2 linked regions of the Danio rerio genome follow. The protein of the gene in region 2 interacts with the protein of the main gene of each other region in a biochemical or structural test. Links are inferred from orthologs where the notes say so. Each region holds a gene or a part of one and is shown on either strand. Other genes may lie near its edges. The genes, in order: cdc7 and mcm3l.

What was found.
Region 1: the proteins of mcm3l (region 2) and cdc7 form a complex in vitro, tested with the Homo sapiens proteins (2 studies listed by BioGRID and IntAct, with this or other methods). The link is inferred for Danio rerio from reciprocal best matches to the Homo sapiens genes MCM3 and CDC7.

Annotation. Positions count from the first base shown.
Region 1 is NC_133177.1:11,294,108-11,304,387, forward strand, and holds the start of cdc7 (cell division cycle 7-related protein kinase), read right to left. Parts: upstream 8,819-10,280; 5' UTR 8,524-8,818; intron 8,339-8,523; 5' UTR 8,293-8,338; coding exon 8,217-8,292; intron 7,683-8,216; coding exon 7,596-7,682; intron 7,094-7,595; coding exon 6,958-7,093; intron 6,820-6,957; coding exon 6,726-6,819; intron 6,638-6,725; coding exon 6,495-6,637; intron 2,936-6,494; coding exon 2,698-2,935; intron 2,566-2,697; coding exon 2,470-2,565; intron 2,386-2,469; coding exon 2,180-2,385; intron 1,847-2,179; coding exon 1,764-1,846; intron 1-1,763. Other genes in the region: tceanc2 (transcription elongation factor A N-terminal and central domain-containing protein 2), read left to right, coding at 9,592-9,690, 9,769-9,910. UniProt on the Homo sapiens protein: Kinase involved in initiation of DNA replication. Phosphorylates critical substrates that regulate the G1/S phase transition and initiation of DNA replication, such as MCM proteins and CLASPIN.
Region 2 is NC_133195.1:6,681,855-6,692,786, forward strand, and holds the start of mcm3l (MCM3 minichromosome maintenance deficient 3 (S. cerevisiae), like), read right to left. Parts: upstream 6,148-10,932; 5' UTR 6,029-6,147; coding exon 5,957-6,028; intron 5,850-5,956; coding exon 5,737-5,849; intron 3,915-5,736; coding exon 3,706-3,914; intron 2,668-3,705; coding exon 2,537-2,667; intron 1,570-2,536; coding exon 1,331-1,569; intron 1,261-1,330; coding exon 1,152-1,260; intron 595-1,151; coding exon 441-594; intron 31-440; coding exon 1-30. Other genes in the region: si:ch211-191a24.4 (uncharacterized protein), read left to right, coding at 9,916-10,052, 10,212-10,327. UniProt on the Homo sapiens protein: Acts as a component of the MCM2-7 complex (MCM complex) which is the replicative helicase essential for 'once per cell cycle' DNA replication initiation and elongation in eukaryotic cells.

The sequences.
Region 1 (10,280 bases), on a different chromosome or scaffold from region 2:
CTATATTTTATTAAACTTGTATGTATACAAGCATAAATATTATTAATTACTTAATATTAAATTTTATTAATTGTTATAAATGTATATATATATATATATATATATATATATAGAGAGAGAGAGAGAGAGAGAGAGAGAGAGAGAGAGAGAGAGAGAGAGAGAGAGAGAGAGAGAGAGAGAGAGAGAGAGACAATAACAAGCTGCGAATAAGAAGCTGGATTCAGAACAGCTTCTGCTGTTCTGACGTCAGCTGCAGATGTAAATAAATGGTGGAAGATAGTAGTTCCTAATACAATAGGGTTTTAGACTCTCTGTGTTTGATTTTCTTTTTTATGTACAAGATTGTGCCATCAAACTGTTGTATAAACGCATTATCACACTAGTAGCAGTGTGCTATGGCTGTATATCAGCACTGGTGGGGCACAAAGCACGCCTCCCACCAGTGCTGATATTGACCTTATTCTAAAATGCAGAAGTGCGCCTGTTATCGCGATTGTCTTAGAACTTCCGATTCAGTCGCCTATGGGAGAAATGACTAGGAATAATAAACAGCAGAAAATGGTCAAACTACTTGCTCTACAAACAAATATTTGCATGACTATACAGACCAAATAGAATAATATAATAAAAAAAATCTAATTGCAACATCTAGCAGCATAACGAGCAGTTTTTAACGTTAAAAAAATAAATGGAAGTGAATGAGACCGGAAGTCTAGAGCCAAAAAGATTCAAATGGCAGCACCCACTCGTCGGCGGAGAATAAGGTGAATACAGCCATAGCACACTGGTACTAGTGTGATATTTCTCACATATACACACACACACACACACACACACACATGTATAAAACTTTTTTTCTTATTTTACTTATTTCCCAAGTTTATATAACCTATAGGTTACTACTGTAAGAAAACGTCAATTATACCTGCAATTGTAGAATGACCATTATAAATTTCAAATGGACGTGTATAAAGTACACAACAGTGTTTTCACTAGGATTTTTTTACAGCTGTGGTGGCAGGCCTTTTTTTTTTTTTTTTTTTTACACAGATCTGCTAACTACCTGTTGCGTTATTTCAATGACAAATGTCGTGAGCGCAGTATTACAAGTTGAGATCGGATTTATGTAATAGCCTACGAGCATGTGAAACTCTTTGCTTGCGCGCCGATTTCCTCTGCTAGTGCACAAAACTTCTTGCACATCCTTAAATATACGCTGCTCAAGCGCAGATCTTCTTGTGCGCGCTCAAATAAATGCTGCTGGGTGCGATTTAGTGCGTTTATGTAACGAGTATGTCTCCAACATTTATTAGATTTGCTAGGAATATTATTGAATGTCTCCAATAGACCTACAGAGCGGTATTAATGCGCCCTGAAGTAAAGTTAAACTAGTATACGTTGTAATTGCTGGCCTCACGCATCTGTCAGTCAGCACATAACCTTAAAGGGTTAAACAAATAACGCACAGTACTACTACGGTTACAGAAAAGTTTGCCCCGTTATAATTCACTTACCTTTTAATACGTTTTGGTACGATTATCACCCGCTATTAAAAAAAACAGAACTGAATAATATGAATAAAAAGTTGTAATGTAGCCATGGCGGGATCAATTTTGGTGTGGCGGAAACCATGAACAAGTTTTAAAAAAAGACAGAACTGTACCAACTGTTAAAGAGATAGTATTTTCTATACAGTGAGCTGGAATACTGAATCACATCCAAAATAATAATAATAATAATAGCATTGCTTTTGTTAGCTTTACCTGTTCCCTGGTTGGGACACTTGGTTAGAACCTCAGGAGCCCTAAACCCAGGGGTACCAGCCCTCGGAGCCACCTGCTGTTTCCTGTGAAAAAAATAACCACACTATTAAATTAAAACCATCAAATAGAATGTTTTTATTGAGAAATGCAAAAAAAAAAAAATTCCTGAAAAGGCTGATGTAGCTTATTAAACACTCAAAATGTAACTAATCACTAGTCACTATCACTAGTTCACTATTAACAATAAATCTGATAGCAGTTCATGACAAATGTGGGTGTTTTTAGAATTGGGCTAAAACAGAGTATAGATGCATGTAGTAGACTGTGTAGTGTTGATCTTTCTTTTTTCTTCACCGTAGACATGCCACAGTAGGCTTTTTAAGGTTTGGATTGATGTATAGATGACGAGTGTGTACCTGGACAGGCAGATGTTGCAGACGCGGTCAGTCATGTAGCAGTTGCAGGTGAGTAGGGGGTTGACGGCAGCAGGTTTAGGTTTCTGACTCTCAGCCGGAAGTTTCTGTTTCTGATTTAATGGTGCTCTGACAGGGACGGAGCGATGTTTGGCAGAAACAATCTTGCGTGGAATTACTTCCTCCTTTTTGGGCTTTGAAAGCAATCCCTAAAACACAATGTGACAGGTGAAGAGCTGATAGTTATTCAGACGGCATCGCATGCAACCAGTGTGAGAAGAGACAGAGCTAACCTCAACTTTGTCAGAGCCTGGTTTATGAGAGTTTGTGCTGTTTATGCTTTTCTCCCCAAATACAGACCGTGGTGCTTTATCAAGTCCCATCAGTTCCTTTGAGAGGAAGGACACATATTTTTGACATGAATACGAAATGAATCAATATAGGCCTGGAAGTGCAGTGCTCCCCAGTTTGACTGATTATCACTTAAAATATGATTTATTCATTAAATAAAGTGCAGACACCTTGCTGTGTTTAACGCGTGAGGGTGGGCAGGGTCTTTTAGCCGGTGCTTTAGTGCTGGACTGGACAGCAGGGTTTCTGCTGTTGGGTGGTAAAGGCACCAGTTTCTGTTTTCCCAGTGATTCCTCCACCATCTTAGATGACCCACCACCTTTATGACCTTTTGATTTGACCACCTTCAGCAGTTCGATCTGGGTGTCAGGAGTGCCCTGAGCCAGGCCAAAATCCACCAGCGCATACCTGAGGGAAAAAAAAGAAAAGAAATCAGCATGTATCAGGATTTTTGGACTTCAAGATAACAGTCAAAGAGCCTCCGACTTAATTTGTTCATGTGCAATAAAGTACCGCACATACCCAATGTCAGTTTAGTGTTCAACATTCAGCACGGGTTATTAAAGGTGGATTAGGTGTGAACAACATTTAAAACCATTTTGCTCTTATTTAAAGCCTTAAAGGGTTAGTTCAAAAAAAGTGAAAATTCTGTCATTTGAGCTAATGAACAGCAGTCGTTCCCAATTCCAGTCCTTGGGACCACCCGCCCTGCACATTTTGTATAGGCAGTGCTCTAAATTAACCGTTTGTTTAGGTAGCACCGATGCTCCCAACTTCAAAAATGTAGGCGCACCAGACAAAATTTAGTCGCACCCACTAAAAATTATGAGCACCATTACTACACGGTTTGTATTAACAGATTCTATTATATATTAACACTCTAATCACAACTAACAAATAAACAAAAATCTGCATGTGCTCACCAGCCCTGCACGCACTGCTTGATGTGAATGAGATGAACTCAGTTAACAATAACTGCTGTTCTCAAGGGTGCTGTCTGATATTGCACAGATGATATCGACATTTAACTTATTATTTGCATACATCATCTTAATAACAGTAACAGTCTTTTCATGAGCTGCAATATTAGTTCCATCTAGGTGAATGCATGCTCTTTACCGATGGTGAACGCGATATCAGTCGCACAATCTTGACGATTAAAATGTAGGATTTAATAACGTTAGAACATCTCGTGCTTAAAATTTGAAGATTCAGTAGCAAACACTGTTAACTGAAAACTCCATCCCACGGGCTTAACAGTGAATGCTTTAGTCATTTTCATTGCAGACTTTAAACACTGGAAGTCTTTGACCCACTCTTTGAAAAGTGTAAATGCTGGATTGACATTCAGCACATGATCACTAATCAGATGTGCCATTATTTGTAACTTTAGGTGGTTTCTAAAGCTAAATCTTTCAGCGTTGTTTTCATTCTCTCGTATCCAGCCCTTTACATTTTCACGGCTGTGGCTCCCTGTCATCGAAACTGAGTGATTGACAGCTGATATTTACTAATCCATTTGCGTTCTGTTCTAGCGCAGTGGGTCAATAAGAAGAGCTTGAAGGGGGGCCAAGCACTGCGGGCTTTGTTTACTGCAGCACGTTGTCATGTCAACTGTTTTAAACCATTCCTGAGCGCTGCGATTGGTATTTTTAGGTGCAACGATGCTTAATGTGTGAATGCCTCCAAAATCCGTGCAAGTGGTGAACATTTTGCTGTGAAAACTGTTTGCACGACATCAATTTTATGCACTCGCACAAATGCTCCCAAATGTATTTTGAGGTCGCATAGATAAATTTGGGCGCATACGTGACAAATGGTCAAAATTTCGAGCCCTGATAGGTGCGTCCCAAATCGCATACTTATGCACTATTCTACGCCTTTTTGTAGTATAAATTGTGCAAGTAGTGCGTTCACACTGAAAACTCTAAAAATAATAACTGCACTTTAAGTACCCGGATGATGCACTTAATTAACCGTTAAAAAGAAGCGTTATGTTGGACACTTCACACACTCATTACTCAATTAGATGTTGGATTACTTTATTTTGGATTAAAAGCTAAATTCTCCCACTAGAGTTATTATACCACCTCCCAATGGTAGTTGCAAATAAAATCATGGAAGGTATCATGTGAGGGTTTGGTCAATTGTTTTAGCACGGGACTAAATTTTGAATCCCGCTCCTGCCTGGTTTTAGCCCAAACCCGACCGCTCCAGCTTATGTTCAGCATTTGTTGTACTGCTGCCCGTCCCGTTGTCTACCCGCCGCACCAGTTCCCGCTAACGAGCAGGGGGAGAACAAAACCGAAAAACCACCCAGCTATACAGAGTCCAGACAGCCTATAACAAGCTGTCTGTATAACACACACACACTTAAACACCAAGCAAGTGACACCCACATAGGCATGCCGCGCCGCAGAAAACTGGTCGGGAATGCAAACCACTAATTTGTTTCACTAAATTAGGCAACCGTCAAACATAATCTGGGAAACTGAAAGTAAAAAAAAAAAATTGTGTTCTATTTTGGGCGACACTACATTCATATACTACGCTGTTGAGTGTGTTAGTGCATAAGTACATAGTGTATAAGTGCAAAGTGTATATCTTAACTCACTTGATTCAGATCATCAACTCATTAACAGAGAGATCCTTGTGTGTCAAGTAACCAAAACATACAAAATGTGGAGGGTGGATGTTTGAGGACAGGAATTGGGTGCCACTGGTGTAGAGGACAAAAAAAAATGTTGGCGCACAAAAGTTGTCCTAGAGCTCTGTTATTTTAGCTCTTGGATGTTTTGACAATGTTTTTGGTTCCTTTTCTGAACTTTGAATGTTAGCGACCATTGCTATCTATAGCTTCAGATTTTATGTAAAATATCTTTTGAAGGTCTTACAGGATTGGAACGAAAAAAAGGTGAGTAATAAATAACAGAATTAAATTTTTTTGGAGACTTTACCCTTTAATTTGTAGAATGGGAACCAAGACTTTAGACCTCCAAAAACGAATGATTTGATGGATAAATTTAACGAAATTGTAAATGTTTTAAGATGATCTCTGGCACCTTTGAGAACAACAAATCTTTTTGATGATAATAACTGCCCAAAAAATGATTTGTTAATTTCCCTAATAAAAAAAGAATTGTCGTTTAATTATATTGATATTTGAATTTAATGAAGAAATTCATATTAAGAATAGTCATGATTTCTGCATTCATATTGTAAAAGAACCACACTAGACTATGTGTGGAAGTGGATCAAAACCTTAATTTCAAGGGTCTTGGTCTGTGTTTTCGGTGGGCACCAGTGTTCAAATAGAGTGTTCACACTTATTCAAATCACCCACACAAACAGAGCAATAACTACAGTGTTCAACTTAATCAAATCAAACCTATCAAGTGTGAACACACCATAAGACTCATTAGGGTATATGCACAGCTAGTGTTTTTGAGCAAAAACTTCTGCTGAAAGCTTAATGTGACTATTTTTAATTTCATATGGTTCCTTTTACAGCATCAATGTTGTAATGTAATTAAAATATAATTTATTAAATAGACTTAAGCATCCATTTGGTTGTTAAAGTGTAAAAAAAAAAAAAAGACGAAAAAACGTTTAAGCGCAGGCACCGTTATTAGCCGCAGGCCAGCAAAGAAATTCCATTGAAAATACTGGAGAAAAATTCATTTCCATTTTTTTTAACACATGACGCTGAAAAAAATGCTTTAATGCAGTGCTTCTTGTTTGGTCTGATTACCCACTTTATATTATATCTCATGTCTGTGTGCATATACCCCAATAACTGAATGATCAATTGTTATCATTTACACTTTTTAAAAAAGCTAGAAAAAGATTGTTTTTTGATTAAGTTGATATTTGAATTTGATGAAGCAATTCATATTTAGAATAGTGTACATGTGTATCAGGCAGAGGTTAGACTAGAACCACAACGACATGAATATCAGGTACATACTCCCTCTTCTGTCGATTGAACAGGAAATTGGTTGGTTTGATGTCTCTGTGGATGATGCCAAACTTGTGAATGTGCTTCAAGGCTTTGAGCAGATGATAGATGTAATGCCTCACATCCTCAAAACTTAACAAGCCAACAATATCCTACAAAAAGAAGAAACATTTTTGAGTAGCATCATGCTATTAAATCATTTAGCCTAAAAGCGCGCACACACACAGTGCAAACACTCACCACAAAGGTCTGATGCTCCATGTATGGCATGACTATGACCACGTGATGCTCCTTCCTGAAGCAGTATGTGACTCCCATCACATTTTCTGTCCCTCTGTGGAATGAGATATAATGGACAAACACTCTAACAAAACTCTGAAACCTACATTTGTTCATTCAGAAATATTTTCAATTATTTAGCCGAAATAACATAAAACAAAGGTCAAAATTAGACATTTTCATCATCACTCACCCAGCAACAGTCAGGCACTGGAGCTCAGCAGCGATGCGCACAGGATGACTGGTAGGGATCAGATGTTTCAATGCAAACAACCTCCTTGAACTGTCCGTCATCTGTGCCTCAGCCAAATATACCGAACTAAAAGTACCTGTGTTGATACAGTGATGCAAAAGATCATTAAAGGGAACCTAATATGCAAAAATCCCTTTAAAATTGATTTAAACAAAGTTATATGGCAACAGTCGAACAATATAACCAGCTTCTAATGGCGAACATATATTAATTTTATATTTTATAATCACACTTCATAAATACAGTCAGCAGAAACACTTTGATTGACATTCTCCCTTTGTATGTTTCATCTGAAGGGGACGCCTCACCCACTAGTGACGATATCTCCCTCAGTAGTATAAGTTAGTCTTAATTTTTTTAAATCTGCCACTATGCTGACATATGGGCATTTGTATAAATTTTGTCCGAATTTGTTTTTATTGACAGTGCGAGAAGTAGTTTACTTGCATTTTATAAATCATCAGAAACCATGGTTTCAGCACAAAAAAAAGTCTTTTAATGTATTTTTTTAGCAAAAAATAAATAAATAAATTTCGTAGCAAAAACAAAAAGTAATAACAATAATAATAATAGCAAACCTTCTCCAATCTTATCTATGATGCGAAATATTCGAGAAAGCTGTGGCAGAACTTCATACAGATATGCAATTTCCGTCTCAACATCTCCTAAAGAGAGATAAAACACAGAGTTAATTATTTCAACATACTAACAATTAAATACAGTTAACAATTCCTTTGTAAAGAAACTTAAGAATAAATAAAAATAGTAATGAGATAAACAAAAACAAAACGTACTTAAAAAAACATAGTAACAAAAAGAATGTACTGTGACCTACATCAATTGTTTATAACAGTTAATTAAATGCTGTTATATTTTATTATGTTAAATGTACTATAGTTAAAAAGTACTTATAGTTAAAAGTTAACTGCATAATAAATGTAATTTGATACATTTTATGTTCTTCAGAACACCCTAATGTCTCTAAAATATGATAAAGTGTGTTGCTGAATGTACTGGCAAACATTTGTGGTAAAAAAAAAGTTAAACTTTGATATTATGTTTTTGTGGTGTACTTAATATACTTGATTTGTGTATTTGTAAAGATAATTTGCATTTCAGTGAATTGTATAAATATTCATTTTTTAATGAAATATTCAAAAAGTCTTTACAGCTCATACTGTAAATTATTTAACACTCACTGGAAATTTTGTGTCGACTTCTGCCCTTTTCAACACTGCGATGGGAGCTTCTCTGGACAGTATTTGCTTCTTCCATTAAACCCGACGATTACGAACAGATTTAATAATCTGTCGTGGGAAAACTGTTGGATGTAATTAGATATTAATATTCATAATCAGCTTGGCTGGTAAAGTATAATACTATTTAGACGCTAACTGCATCAAATAAGACGAGAACAATACGAGACAGTAAGGAAACAAAAAAAGCAAGCAAGCAAACAAACAAAGCGTCGAAATGTATCGCGGAAAATAAGTTGTAAAACTTTACCTTTTATTGTTTATGTTTTCTCCAAGTCTGTTATTGTTTATGAGAAACACTGTCTCGGCGGATAAACAGCTGAACTGACGTAAACACTAAACTTACCGCGCACAGTTCAATAGTTAAGTCACGATCTTATTTTGATATTGAACACTAAAAACTTCACCCAATATTAGTTAAACAAACACGACTATATTTTAAAATACCCCACAAACGCTTTAATGTTCTTTTATAGGCACATTTCGATCTTGTTTTCGATGTCTTTCTTTCCGACGGGTTCCAAGTTCCGCGCTAAAACTGAGATGAAGGTCACATGACCGGAACTAAGCCATTTGGGTAAAAATGCATGAACATTTCTTAAAAATAAAACAAACATTGCTATAAATCCTTAAAATGGTCCTATTTCTCTTGTTGCAAAAAAAGTAATATATGTATTGTTTTTACTACACATCTATTTGTTATATTTTCATTGTAATTGTCTGTTGTTATTGCAATAAAAATAAAATTAATTAATTAATTAAACTAAAGTAAATAAAATTATGTTAAATTAAAAACAACACACAACCATGGCTATAACAAATACATTGATGTTGGCATTTGTTACGGATGAAACGAAAAAACCTCTAAAAAAAACGAAATTATACATTTTCTAAATAAAAATATAAATTAAATTCAGTTAAATTTATTAAACTGACACATCAAATACAAAGCTTATTGCCAAATAAAAAGTTTAAATCAAACAAAAATAAAAATGTGGTTCCTTTTCCATTCGAACATAACATTTTTGTTTTAACGCGGAGTATTGTGTATTTGCAAACAAGTAAATTTAAGCATCCCTTTTCAGATAAACTTGAGAAAATCTTGCAACTCTTAGTTGGTTACCATTTGGCATCTTTTGGGTTGTCTTAACTCCACTTTAGAAGGCTTTTATTTTGAAACAACTTTACTTTGGAGGCGCGCTTTTCCTGTGTAAACACTCCACGGTTTTACACAGATGTAGAATGAAGGACGCTGAACATAAGCGTCGGTAAATCTTTGTTAAAAACTATTAAGAGCTTATCATACCAGTTTTAAATAATGGATAAATTCGTTGTTCGGTTGCCGAAGGATGACATGATGAAACAAGAATCAAAACATGAGAGGAATTATAAACAAGCAACGTTGGAGTCGCTTCGGGTAAGTCAATGTCTGTCTCTACCCATCAGTGTCCATCAGGTGAGGTTTTATTCAGGTAAACGTTTGTATGTGTTCTAGAGAGTGGTCGTGATTGAGGACATCGAAAGGTACAAGTCAATCCTGGAACTGCCTGGTCAACCTAAAGAGAACATGATAGAAGCCTTAAAGGAGCTGGACAAGAAAGTGCCCTCTAGAGAAGTGCTGAAGTCTACTAGAATTGGTAAGTAAATAAATAAATAAACACCAGAAACGTCCCTGGCTCAGGGTTTTGTAGAATCTACTCTGAAGGAAAACAAACATAAATAGTGATGATGAAAGGCAACAGTTTGAAATATTTACTACACTTTTAATACTCTATAGAGTTTATTATTATTAGAATATGGATTTATTTTGGGTTGTGCAATTTAATTGACGGAATTTCTACAAATATCTTGTATATTGTAAACTTGCATACTTTTTTTGGTCACACACATAACATGTTTATTTCTCAGACCTTTACATGTTCATGTTTCCAATCTATTAACTTTGTGGTTTTTGGAAAATTGAAAGAAATGTTTTAAAATACTGTTACATACATTCATAAATACATA
Region 2 (10,932 bases):
GCAACTGAGACTTTGCGACAGAAGGATCACCTAAAAAAATACAAAACCGAAACTAGTGCACTTTGCAACTACTAAAATTTCTAATTATATAAAATCTATAATTTATATTTAAATAGCTAAAAACTAAAATACTAAATATTTTTATTCATAAATGTTTAATTTATAAAGGTCAATTTACAAATATAAATGAAATTTGAACAGTAATACATAATTTCTGTACAATATTTTATAGAAATACATCTATAAGTTTAGATGTACATCAAATTCATTATTTTTATACAAATAACCACAGAGATAACTTCTCTATGTCTTACAATAATTAGATTAATTTCAAATGAGTAAACAGTTATAAAGAAATCAGAACAAATTTACAAACATATAAAAACTAATAAGGATATTTTAAATGATTTAAATACTCTAAAATTAAACCATATGCAGACCTATGAGCAGAATGTTGATGTCTCCTCTGATGCGCGTCCCATTCTCCAGGTTGGTCTCATTGCCTCCTAGCAGCAGACAGAGAATGGCCTTCTTTATGTACTCGTGGCCATGAATGCTGGGGGCCAAAGACCGACTCAACTGCTCGAAAACATCCTGAAATGCACAAACACCGTAGCAAGGATGACACCCATCAGGACTGAGTTTTAAAAGGAATTGAAAGGCTTTTTTTAAGAAAGAAAGAAAGAAATAAAGAAAGAAAGAAAGAAAGAAAGAAAGTAAGAAATTTTTTTTTAAAGGTAGAGTTGGTCAATTGTTTAAAAAAAAATATGAAACAGATCAGTAAAAGGGGTCATGGCATGAGTTTTTTTTTTGTTTGTTTTGTTTGTCAAGTTGTTTTAATACTTGTTAATTTGGTTTCAATAATGCTATTTTTAACAATAAATGACATGTATATGCAGAAAATCCATGTTCAATTTTTGTGAAAAGCTCTGATTTTGAGGCACGGGTCTTTTACTTAGGCGGAATTGGGTGGAGCTTGTATGCTGGAGGCAGTATGCAAATGAACGTACTGTGACATCATATACCATTGTGTTCCTAAATTCATTCTTACAGCTTGAAGAAAGTTTATAACGATATTCATTTTTCAGCAATTTTTAATAAACCTAGGAAAATAGATTTTTCACACCACGACCCTTTTAAAGTCATCTTACTTTCGAATGCGCTTTACAAAACTTCTTGATCTTGGCGACATCATCACCAGAGAAGGTGGGTACGATCTCCTTACTCATAAGCTTCACATTGTTAGCCAATAAGATTGTTCTGCAGAGAGTCAAGATGTTATTCTGAGGGGATTCAATATTGATAACTGTAGGACTCTGAACAAACAAACCTGAAGGTCCCTGAGGTGAAACCGCCCTGTTTTGCGGGCAGGCAGCGGTAAACACCTACGATCTGCACGCGGTCACCTGGCTTGACCCGATCCACGAGGTCATCATTGGCAATGATGTCGACAGAGCGTGGCAGTTGTCCAGCGGGGGCTTTCTCTGGCATCTCCTGAATGGTCAGTGTCTGGTGGTCTTTATAGCAGCAAAGGCCAAACTCTGTCTCCAGAGGATTGTTTTCTTCATCCTATGTACAGTAAAGTACAGTAAAAACATTGACAGGATGTACAGAGAGACCATCATCCATGTTTGAGGTAACAAGAAAAACAGATGCTAATGTGATGTGCATGAATGTAGACAAAATAGTTAAAAAAAAAAAAAAAAGTTTTTTAAAGTCCACTAGAGGCGTTTGATTATTTGATACAAATAATTAAATTAAAATTTAACTAAATATTTAACACATATTTAAAATGTAAACTATTTGACTATAAAACAAAAAAACAACAACAAAACAATCTACTTATTTAAAAAATGGAGTTAGTAATTACATTTATTATTCACATTTAAATAAAAAAAATTAGCTTTGAATGAAATTGACTTGAACTGAATTTAAATATAGGTAAATATTTACAAAATGCATTATGTTTCTTCATAAGTATATGGAAAAATTAATAATTAATATATTATTATTTACTGAAATATTCCTTTTATTAAACTTAATTTAAATTATTTCATTATGTATTCAACAAATTTAAATGAACTTAAATGTAAAAACTTTAAACATTTCAGTAAGTGTCTTGAAATAGGCATCATAATACAAGCTTAATAAATTATCATTTTAAATATTCACTAAACAAGTGTATGCATGTATTAACTTTAAACAATTTTAAATAAATTATTTAAATATCAAATTTATGGTTTAAACTCTTAAAATTTGAAGTTTATTCATTTAAATATGTAAACAAAGAACAAATAAAGATGTTAATATTTGTGCCTGTAAATATTACATTTAATTATCAAATGTAACCATTAAACATATTCTCAACTGACAGAGAGAAAGACAGACAGACATAACAAAAAAAAAAAAAACATACTACTATATGTAACCCCGCTGGTCTTAAACCACCCAACCCGCTCCAAGCTGGTATCGAACAGGCGACCATTCGCATGGGAGTCGTTTGCTCTAACATTTAACGCCATTTACAGTAACTCACTTTGGTCGGATAGATGGCACTAGAAGGAAAAGCATCCAATGATGTCAGATCTGTATACTTTCGTTCCAAGGTTTTCTTGGTAGCTGGACAATAGTGGACACTGCGCATAATCTTAGGCCTCACCAAAGAACCTACAGATGGAAAGACAATGAAGACAACCAAGTGGAATAAACATGCACTTGTACACATTTATATCCGATATAGAAATAATATGCAACGTGCATATTCAAAGCTCTGATAAACAATTTAGAAATCAGCGTGTAACATTCTGAACATTACTTTATCTATGTGAAATGACAAACATCAAGTATAGGCAGTTAAATGAGCGCTTACAGGAATGTTTCACCCAAAAAATGTATTTACTCAATTTCTCACCCTCACATGCTTCCAAACCTACACTGAAAAAAAAAATTCAAAGATGATTCCTTGGATTTACTAAATTTTCTTACGTTAAGTGGTCGTAAACAATTTAATTGTGTTGAATTTAAACAAACAAATTAAGTTTAACATGATTCAATTTAATTTATGTGTTTAAAATCAACACAAACAAATTGTTTGCAACAGTTCTGCATGCAACACCTTTTTCAATGTACGAGTTTGTTATCATCTTTTGTGTTCAAAACAATATTTAAAAAAAGAAGCTGCAAGCATGTAACCATTGACTTCCATACTAGGAAAAATAAATATAAGGATGTCACAGCTAAGAAATATCTTCTTTTGTGTTGAGAGAGAGAGAGAGAGAGAGAGAGAGAGAGAGAGAGAGAGAGAGAGAGAGAGAGAGATTTAATTTTATTGCCATTTCAGCTTCTATGGCTATGTCATGGCAAAAATACAATACATCAAGTTTATCACATTTTATAAATACCAATTTTTTTATAATTATAAATATATTCTAACAATTAAAAGTAATCAACAGCAATAAATAATGTCCACGGTAAAATAAATAAATAACAATAATGATAATATATAAGATAAAAATCTAAAACAGTTTATTAAGGTTTCCTTTTGATAAAAGTTGTACAATTTAGATGGGTTTTTTTGTGTTCATCTAAAATCAGATGGTCAATCAAGTTTGGAACAAGTGAAGGATGAGTAAAAGAGAACAACATTTTCTGTTTTGGACGAAACAATTGCTTTAATAAGTAATAAGTAAAGTAAATCTTACTCACACTTGGTCACGATGCCTTCCACACACACAAGGTTTCCCAGAAAGCGAGCACTCAGAGTACGAGGAGACACATGTTTGTTCCCAAAACTGCCCTCGAAACCAACATGAAACTCCTCAAACTGCTTAGCATAAGTGGCATCTATTGAAGCCACGAGATCCTTCAGGGCTTTCTGAAACGCCACCAGCTCAGCGAAAGCATTCTTCAGTAATCTATTAAAAAGAGACACTTAATCAGATCAATAAAGATTCAAGGATATACACTCAAAATTACATTTGCCGCTTCCACTACTTATTTAAAATAAGCTGAAACAACACAATTCAAGCTTTTTTGGGGGAAACCTAACAGTTTTATGTTAAATCAATATCCATTTGTAAAAACTAATAGGTTAACTTATTTTCTTCGAGATGTTTTAACACAAATTGATTGTGTGAAATCCAGCATTTTTTACAGTGTATGGGAGAATGGGGGCAACATGGGGCAGTTACAACAAGACTTATTTCTCCATTAAGGAATGAGCTATGGAGGGATGATATTCATACTACATATTGTCAGTTGGATCCTTCTTCCATCCAAGAGAAATCAGCCATATGTGACCATTTCTTCAGTCTAAAACTCATTTTAGGTATTTAAAAAAAAAAAAAAAAAAAAAAAATAGTTTTTTGTAATGATCAGAAAATTTCTCATACAGCCCAATCTGTTTTTGTGAAACATTATTCATTTGTATAATTTAAATCACTGTTTTCATAGCTTTAAATAGGTATAGCTATCAAGCGTTTGTAACAAGCTATTGTATCTCTCTAGCATGGAATGTTTAATCAAGGTTGACAGAGTTGCTGAACATGCTTCTGTAACTGTCCCCAATTGTTATAAAATTCATTTGAAAGCTTGCCATATTAACAAATGTACAATTTTATTGATCACAGTTTTAATATAATTTGAAAAAAATATTTGATTAATTAATTCATGTCAACATTCTTAGTAGTAGTTTGGTAAAGGTTCAATCTTTCAGTAAAAAAAAAAAAAAAAAAAAAAGTTCAGTTTTTTTAGGCCTTATAATTGGATGTTGCTCGTTTTTTTTTTTTTTTTTTTTTAAGGTTTTGTATTTATATGGCCAACACATTTAATAATTTAACCAATTTTCATTTAGTGGGTTTACCAAAAAATAAAATCCAACTCGAGGTTTTAGATTTTTTTTAAATTATAATTTGAATGAATGTTGCAATTGTCCCTTTCTTTAAGTAATAAATGAAGAATTTATTAACATATCTACACATATTATAGCAATATGGGTGCCTGTCCAACAGAAGTGAGTTTATTGTTTTAAAATTTTGGGGTTCCACAAAAAAAAAATAAAATTGTCTTCGAGAAACTGAAAGAATTGCAAAAAGTGTTGCAACTGTCCCCACTCTCCTCTACAGAGAATTTTCATCACACATCATCAGTCAGCCATATTGGAAACACAGAACGTAAACAATGTGACTGAACTGACTGAGAATCATATTATTTGCTTACTACTGCTGAAAATGATCAATTGTTTTGGGCTTTGCTATTAGATTGTATTAGAATACTGAAAGCCATGTAAAGTCAAGCAGAAGAGAGAAAAAAAAGCTGTCTGAAGAACAAAAAGTGTTTGTGGTTGACCAAACTAATTCACGATTTCCATGGCAAGAATCTTGATAACGTTCATGTTTGTTCTTATAATTTATGCTCAAGCGAGTGTAACATTAGGCTAATCTGGTCAAATGTATCCTTTACCACATGTTAAATCAAAATGCTACACCATATTCTGCTTTAGTAAGTGATTTAGCAGCTTCCATGTTTTTTTTTTTTTTTTTTGTATATTTTAGACAGCAGAGCAACATATAGTACATCAACCATGCTGTTTACACCAGAGTTTCACATGTATCTGGCCACATGTTTGTTACTGACCAAATCCCGAAGAGCAAACAACGTTAAAGAAAAAATCTAAAATTGTCAAAAAAGCAAAATATGAAACAAAATAGACAACTTTTAATCAAATTAATCACTTACTCTTTAGCTCTTTTTTCACTTTTTCTTCTCAGATCATTAATGTTGACAATGAGACGACACTGTCCATCAGACACCATACTCCTGACCTTTTCATGGTAGATGCCCTGATCTTGCTGTAAATTACAATAAAAAAAGATTTAGTTTGACAGACAAAAAACAAAGTTTATACAGTTCAAAATGCCCACAAGTCAAACACATAAAGATTATTCAAATTATTCACATCATCATCCAGAAAGTCCAGATATTCCCTCTGTGACTCTCTCAGCTCGAGGTCCTCTAACCCAGTATCCATTTCTCCTACACGCGCATCAGCATGTGCATTACAATATTTTAAAATAACATTCACAGTTCAACAAAAATCAAATGCACAAACATGAAGCAACCAAACCAAGCTGGTGCAACAGGCCTGACAATCAATTATGTTAATTAGGCTCATTAACTTGAGCATGTGATTATCCAACTGATTTGAATAGAGCTACCCCTATTTCGAACCATGCTTTCATTATGGTAAAAAATATAACAGATAACCATGTGTAGCCTATATCACGTTTTTACTGTAAATACAATGGTTAAACTGTGGTTAGTGTAGCAAAATCATGAATAATTCGTAATTATCATGTTTGTTTGTTTTTTTTTTTTACAAGTAACCATGTTTTATTTGTGTAATGGTAGCTGGACCCTATTAGCAAAATAGATTCTCCTGAACGCTTCTTAAAATGCTCGAGTCAAAAGGACAATGAATGCGCTAGACCCCCTTTGAATTATTCCATTCTTTTATACTGTATTTGAAGCTCTTACAGTGCTCTTCAGTTATTTTACTCCGAGCTGCTTGATACTGTTGACACTCACACATACTGTAGTTGCATAATACGCACATAAATTAGTTCATTTTCGTTTGTTACGACATTCCAGGACGAAGCCTCAGGCTACGGCTCATATGGTTTTATAAAATATTCATTCACGTTTTGGACGAATCTTCCTTTGCTCGGTTCTCTGCAAACAAACTCCTGAAGTGTCTGAAGGCGTTCCTCTTCGGTGACTGACTTTACCATTCAGCAAATAGGATTTGAGTGCGCGCTGTGAAGGCGTGTTTCATTGGTTAGACCTGAACGATTACGCCCCTCTCTATATGTAGTTCCTCAAGCTGGAGAAAAACTGCTTGTTCAGCTCTTATCTGGTAATATATCTAATGTCTGAATCCAATATTTTACATACTAATCAGTTAAGTAAGGGAGCGGGGCACAAAGTAACACTTTTTGGCTTTGGTCAAATAATAAACAAAGGTTTGGGGTTAAACAAACCATTTGTTTTTTTACCAACAAAACACAAGCCTCTCCTACAAATGAGCTCTGGTTGTATAATCGCCGGACTATTGTTTCTTTGCAGTGTTGCCAAAAGTGCCAGGAGTAAAAATGTTACTATTTACCTCACTTCAAGTTGTAACAGACAGGGTTAGTTGTAACACATGCTTAAAAAAAGGCAGATTACACACAGTTTATTTAAAAATTTAAAGTTTACTTTAAATAGTAGCTATATTTTCTCAGTACCTAGCTCAATTTATTTTTTATTCTACACAGCACAGTATGTTTTCCAGAGATGGGTTGCGGCTGGAAGGGCATCCGCTGCGTAAAAACTTGCTGGATAAGTTGGCGGTTCACTCTGCTGTGGCGACCCTGGATTAATAAAGGAACTAAGCAGTCAAGAAAATGAATGAATAGCACGGTATATTTATTTATTTATTGGATAAACACATTTGGATTATACAATGCATTTATTTGTATTATTAGCAGTAAAATATTTTTTGTCTATCAAAAAAAAAAAAATTTCATTTCATTTAAATAGTTCTCAACATTACACTCAAAATTATATATATATATATATATATATATATATATATATATATATATATATATATATATATATATATATATATATATATATATATATATATATATATAGTGTTAGTTTGATTGGTGTCCAACAGTGCGTGGCTTAATTGTAACACTAACTAACTAACCGCGCGGTGTCGTGTTTTCTTCAAAACTGGCTAGCAGTCACTTTGTGTTTTACATCTTTCAAAATGGTTTCATATTTTAGCCTAGAAGATGGTAGTCACAACAATATATTTAAAAAATATTGACTATAATAAAAAATTATTTTAGGTTGCAAAAATGGTTTCTCCGTGTTCTCATCCAAATTTCGCCAAACTTTTTCAATAATTGGCAAGAAGACATCTGCCGACACTGTGGTGAAAACCTCGCAGTCATGCCATGGTTAACCCTGAGCAAGTATACCTTAAATCTCGGTGTTACATTTAACCTCGCGTTACTTTGTGCCTCGCACTCCCCTACCAATGGTTTGAAAATTATAGACAATAAATTTAATCACTTTTACATCAAAAATGTTATGCAGAACCACATTGTTGCCAAAATGTAAACCATTTTATATTTCCTTATTTGAGCAGATTGAGTGGAAAAAAGTTTGGAACTTTGGAAAGTTTGGAAAAGTTTGGTTTTGTTGACATTGGTATGGGGACTGTCATGATTTATATTTATCTTGACTTTGAAAATAAAATTTGATGACAACTTTTTAGAAACAAACATATGAATTAGCTTACATTACTTACTGAATTATTATTATTATTATTATTATTATTATTATTATTATTATTATTATTTCAGTTTCACCTTACAAAAATAATCCATGGGTTGACCAAATGATGATATGACCTGATCTATATATTTAATTATAATTAATTGTATTACATTATAATGCTTGTTTTTCTTTACAAACAATTAAAAATTATTATATTTTATCATATAATTAATAGTTTTATTTGTTACCTTGATGTATTATTTATTTCAGAAGATTTGTTTACATTTAGAATTAAATAAAATATTTGTTGTGCTAAATACTATCCTATTCCAGTATTCATCTGACTGTATATTGACTGTTTATGCTACTTTTGTTCTCAACATATTTTGTATTCAATAAAAAACGGTCTGGTTCTGTTGATTCTCTCGTCAACAAATCAGTGATTGAATCCTTTAGTGAGCTGGTTCAAAAGAATCGATTCGTTTGAGTGAATCAAAAACAATGCTCTTCCCTCGCACTTGCGTATGTTTTGATCGAAGACAGAGCCACTTTTGTTGAGGAGACAGTCCGTGCTCTCAGTCTGTCCTGACCTTTGCTTCTGTTATCGCGTATTGGGTCGTTCAAACTGTGAATAGGCGATCACACAGATAACAAAGTTTGACAGTTCGTTTAGGGACTGCCGCGTCTGATACTTGTATTTTTCACCTGTCTTCAAACCCCAGGTAATCATCGCGAGATTTCACTGACAGGGTTGGTCAAAATCTCATGTCGGCGGAAAAAAGTGGAGTTTTGATTAGGAAAACCAAAACAAATGTGATCAGCGACCTTTATAAACAAGTAAGTTGTCTGTTTTTTTGACGTTGTTGTCGTTTAGAAACATTATTTGGTCATTTACTTCTAATAAAACGAGTTTATTGTTGTTGTTTTTACTGAAGTCAGCTGAAACGAGATACAAGAGTGAGTGAAACTCATTCACCGATACTCAACCACAGGTTACAGTACGTAAACTAAAACAATTAACGGTTGCGGTTTGGAAATTGTTTTCGTATTTTAAGACAGTTACGTTAACTTATTGCAATCAATAATAATGTGGATATTTTACTGTGTATATAAGTATATCCAATGGTTTGTACACAATCAAATTTATAGGCTATACAAACAAACAAACTATCTATCTATCTATCTATCTATCTATCTATCTATCTATCTATCTATCTAACTATCTATCTATCTATCTATCTATCTATCTATCTATCTATCTATCTATCTATCTATCTATCTATCTATCTATCTATCTATCTATCTAACATGTTATCTATCTATCTATCTATCTATCTATCTATCTATCTATCTATCTATCTATCTATCTATCTATCTATCTATCTATCTATCTATCTATCTATCTGTCTGTCTGTCTGTCTAATATATCTGTCTGTCTGTCTGTCTGTGTTTGTTTGTATTGTTATTAATAAATTAAATTTTTACGATGGAGTTGTCTTAAGTCTTTTTTTTTTTTTTTTTTTTTTTTATAAAATTTGTAAACCTCTGCAAACATACACTAAAGTATCTTTCTTTCATGAAGCAATGAGCCAGCCACCCAGAAACCAGCGTACACACAGAGAGAGAAATGGTGAAGAGAGAAGACAAAATGGTGAAAAGAGAGACAGAGACCCCCGCAGTCAACAGGACCGTCCTAGTGACCGACGACCAGGCAATGAAAGGTGAGACGACATACTTGCACAAACTAACAGCATACAAATTTAACTGTGGAGGAAAAAATAAACAAACAGGAAAGATGAGGAAATTAAATATGTTTTGCATATGTTGTGCCTGTTTTTGCATTACTAATCAATTAAATCGTGTATTTATAAATATATCAGAACCAGATCATCTGGCCAGTCCTCATACCAAACCAGAGGGTCTCAGAGACCTGCGAGGAGCACTTCTCAAAGGGAGCACATGGAGTCCAAGTGCACTTACATCTGTTCTAGGAGAGGTAAGCGTTCACTGATGGACATAACAATGATATGTTGGACTAAAAGACAAATGTAGAAGTATGCATGTTTCAATTATGTATTCAAACAACTGCATCAGAGTGTTTGAAACATGTTTGAAGTATTTAACTTGAACCTCAGTTCTACAATTCTAATTTTTTTTAATTTTCATATCTGCAATTGTTTTTATTTTTTCCCCAAGCATGCCATAACACTGCTCTGGTTTCACTCAAGCAAAAGCCACACCTTCCTACCTGACACAATGTTTTTACCCCCTTCCTCCTCACTTCTGGTCTAACCAGTTTAGCATTTTAAAAGCTTGTTGATACAAATATTACTCTTACGAGTCAGTATATTTTTATTTCTGGTAGAGATACCAAACATTTTTTTACCGTTTTTGAATCTGTAGTCTGTAACTTTTTGGGGAGTTAAAATGACCCAGAAAAAATGTTTTGAGCGATCACCTTGTTTTGCTGGTGTTTGTCTTATCGTCAATACATCTTGTCTGTATACAAAGAATGAGTTTCAGTATCAGCAACTGAGCTGCAGGTGGATCATTGCCTTTAATCACAGAATCTGAAATAAATAAACGCATTTATTTATATGG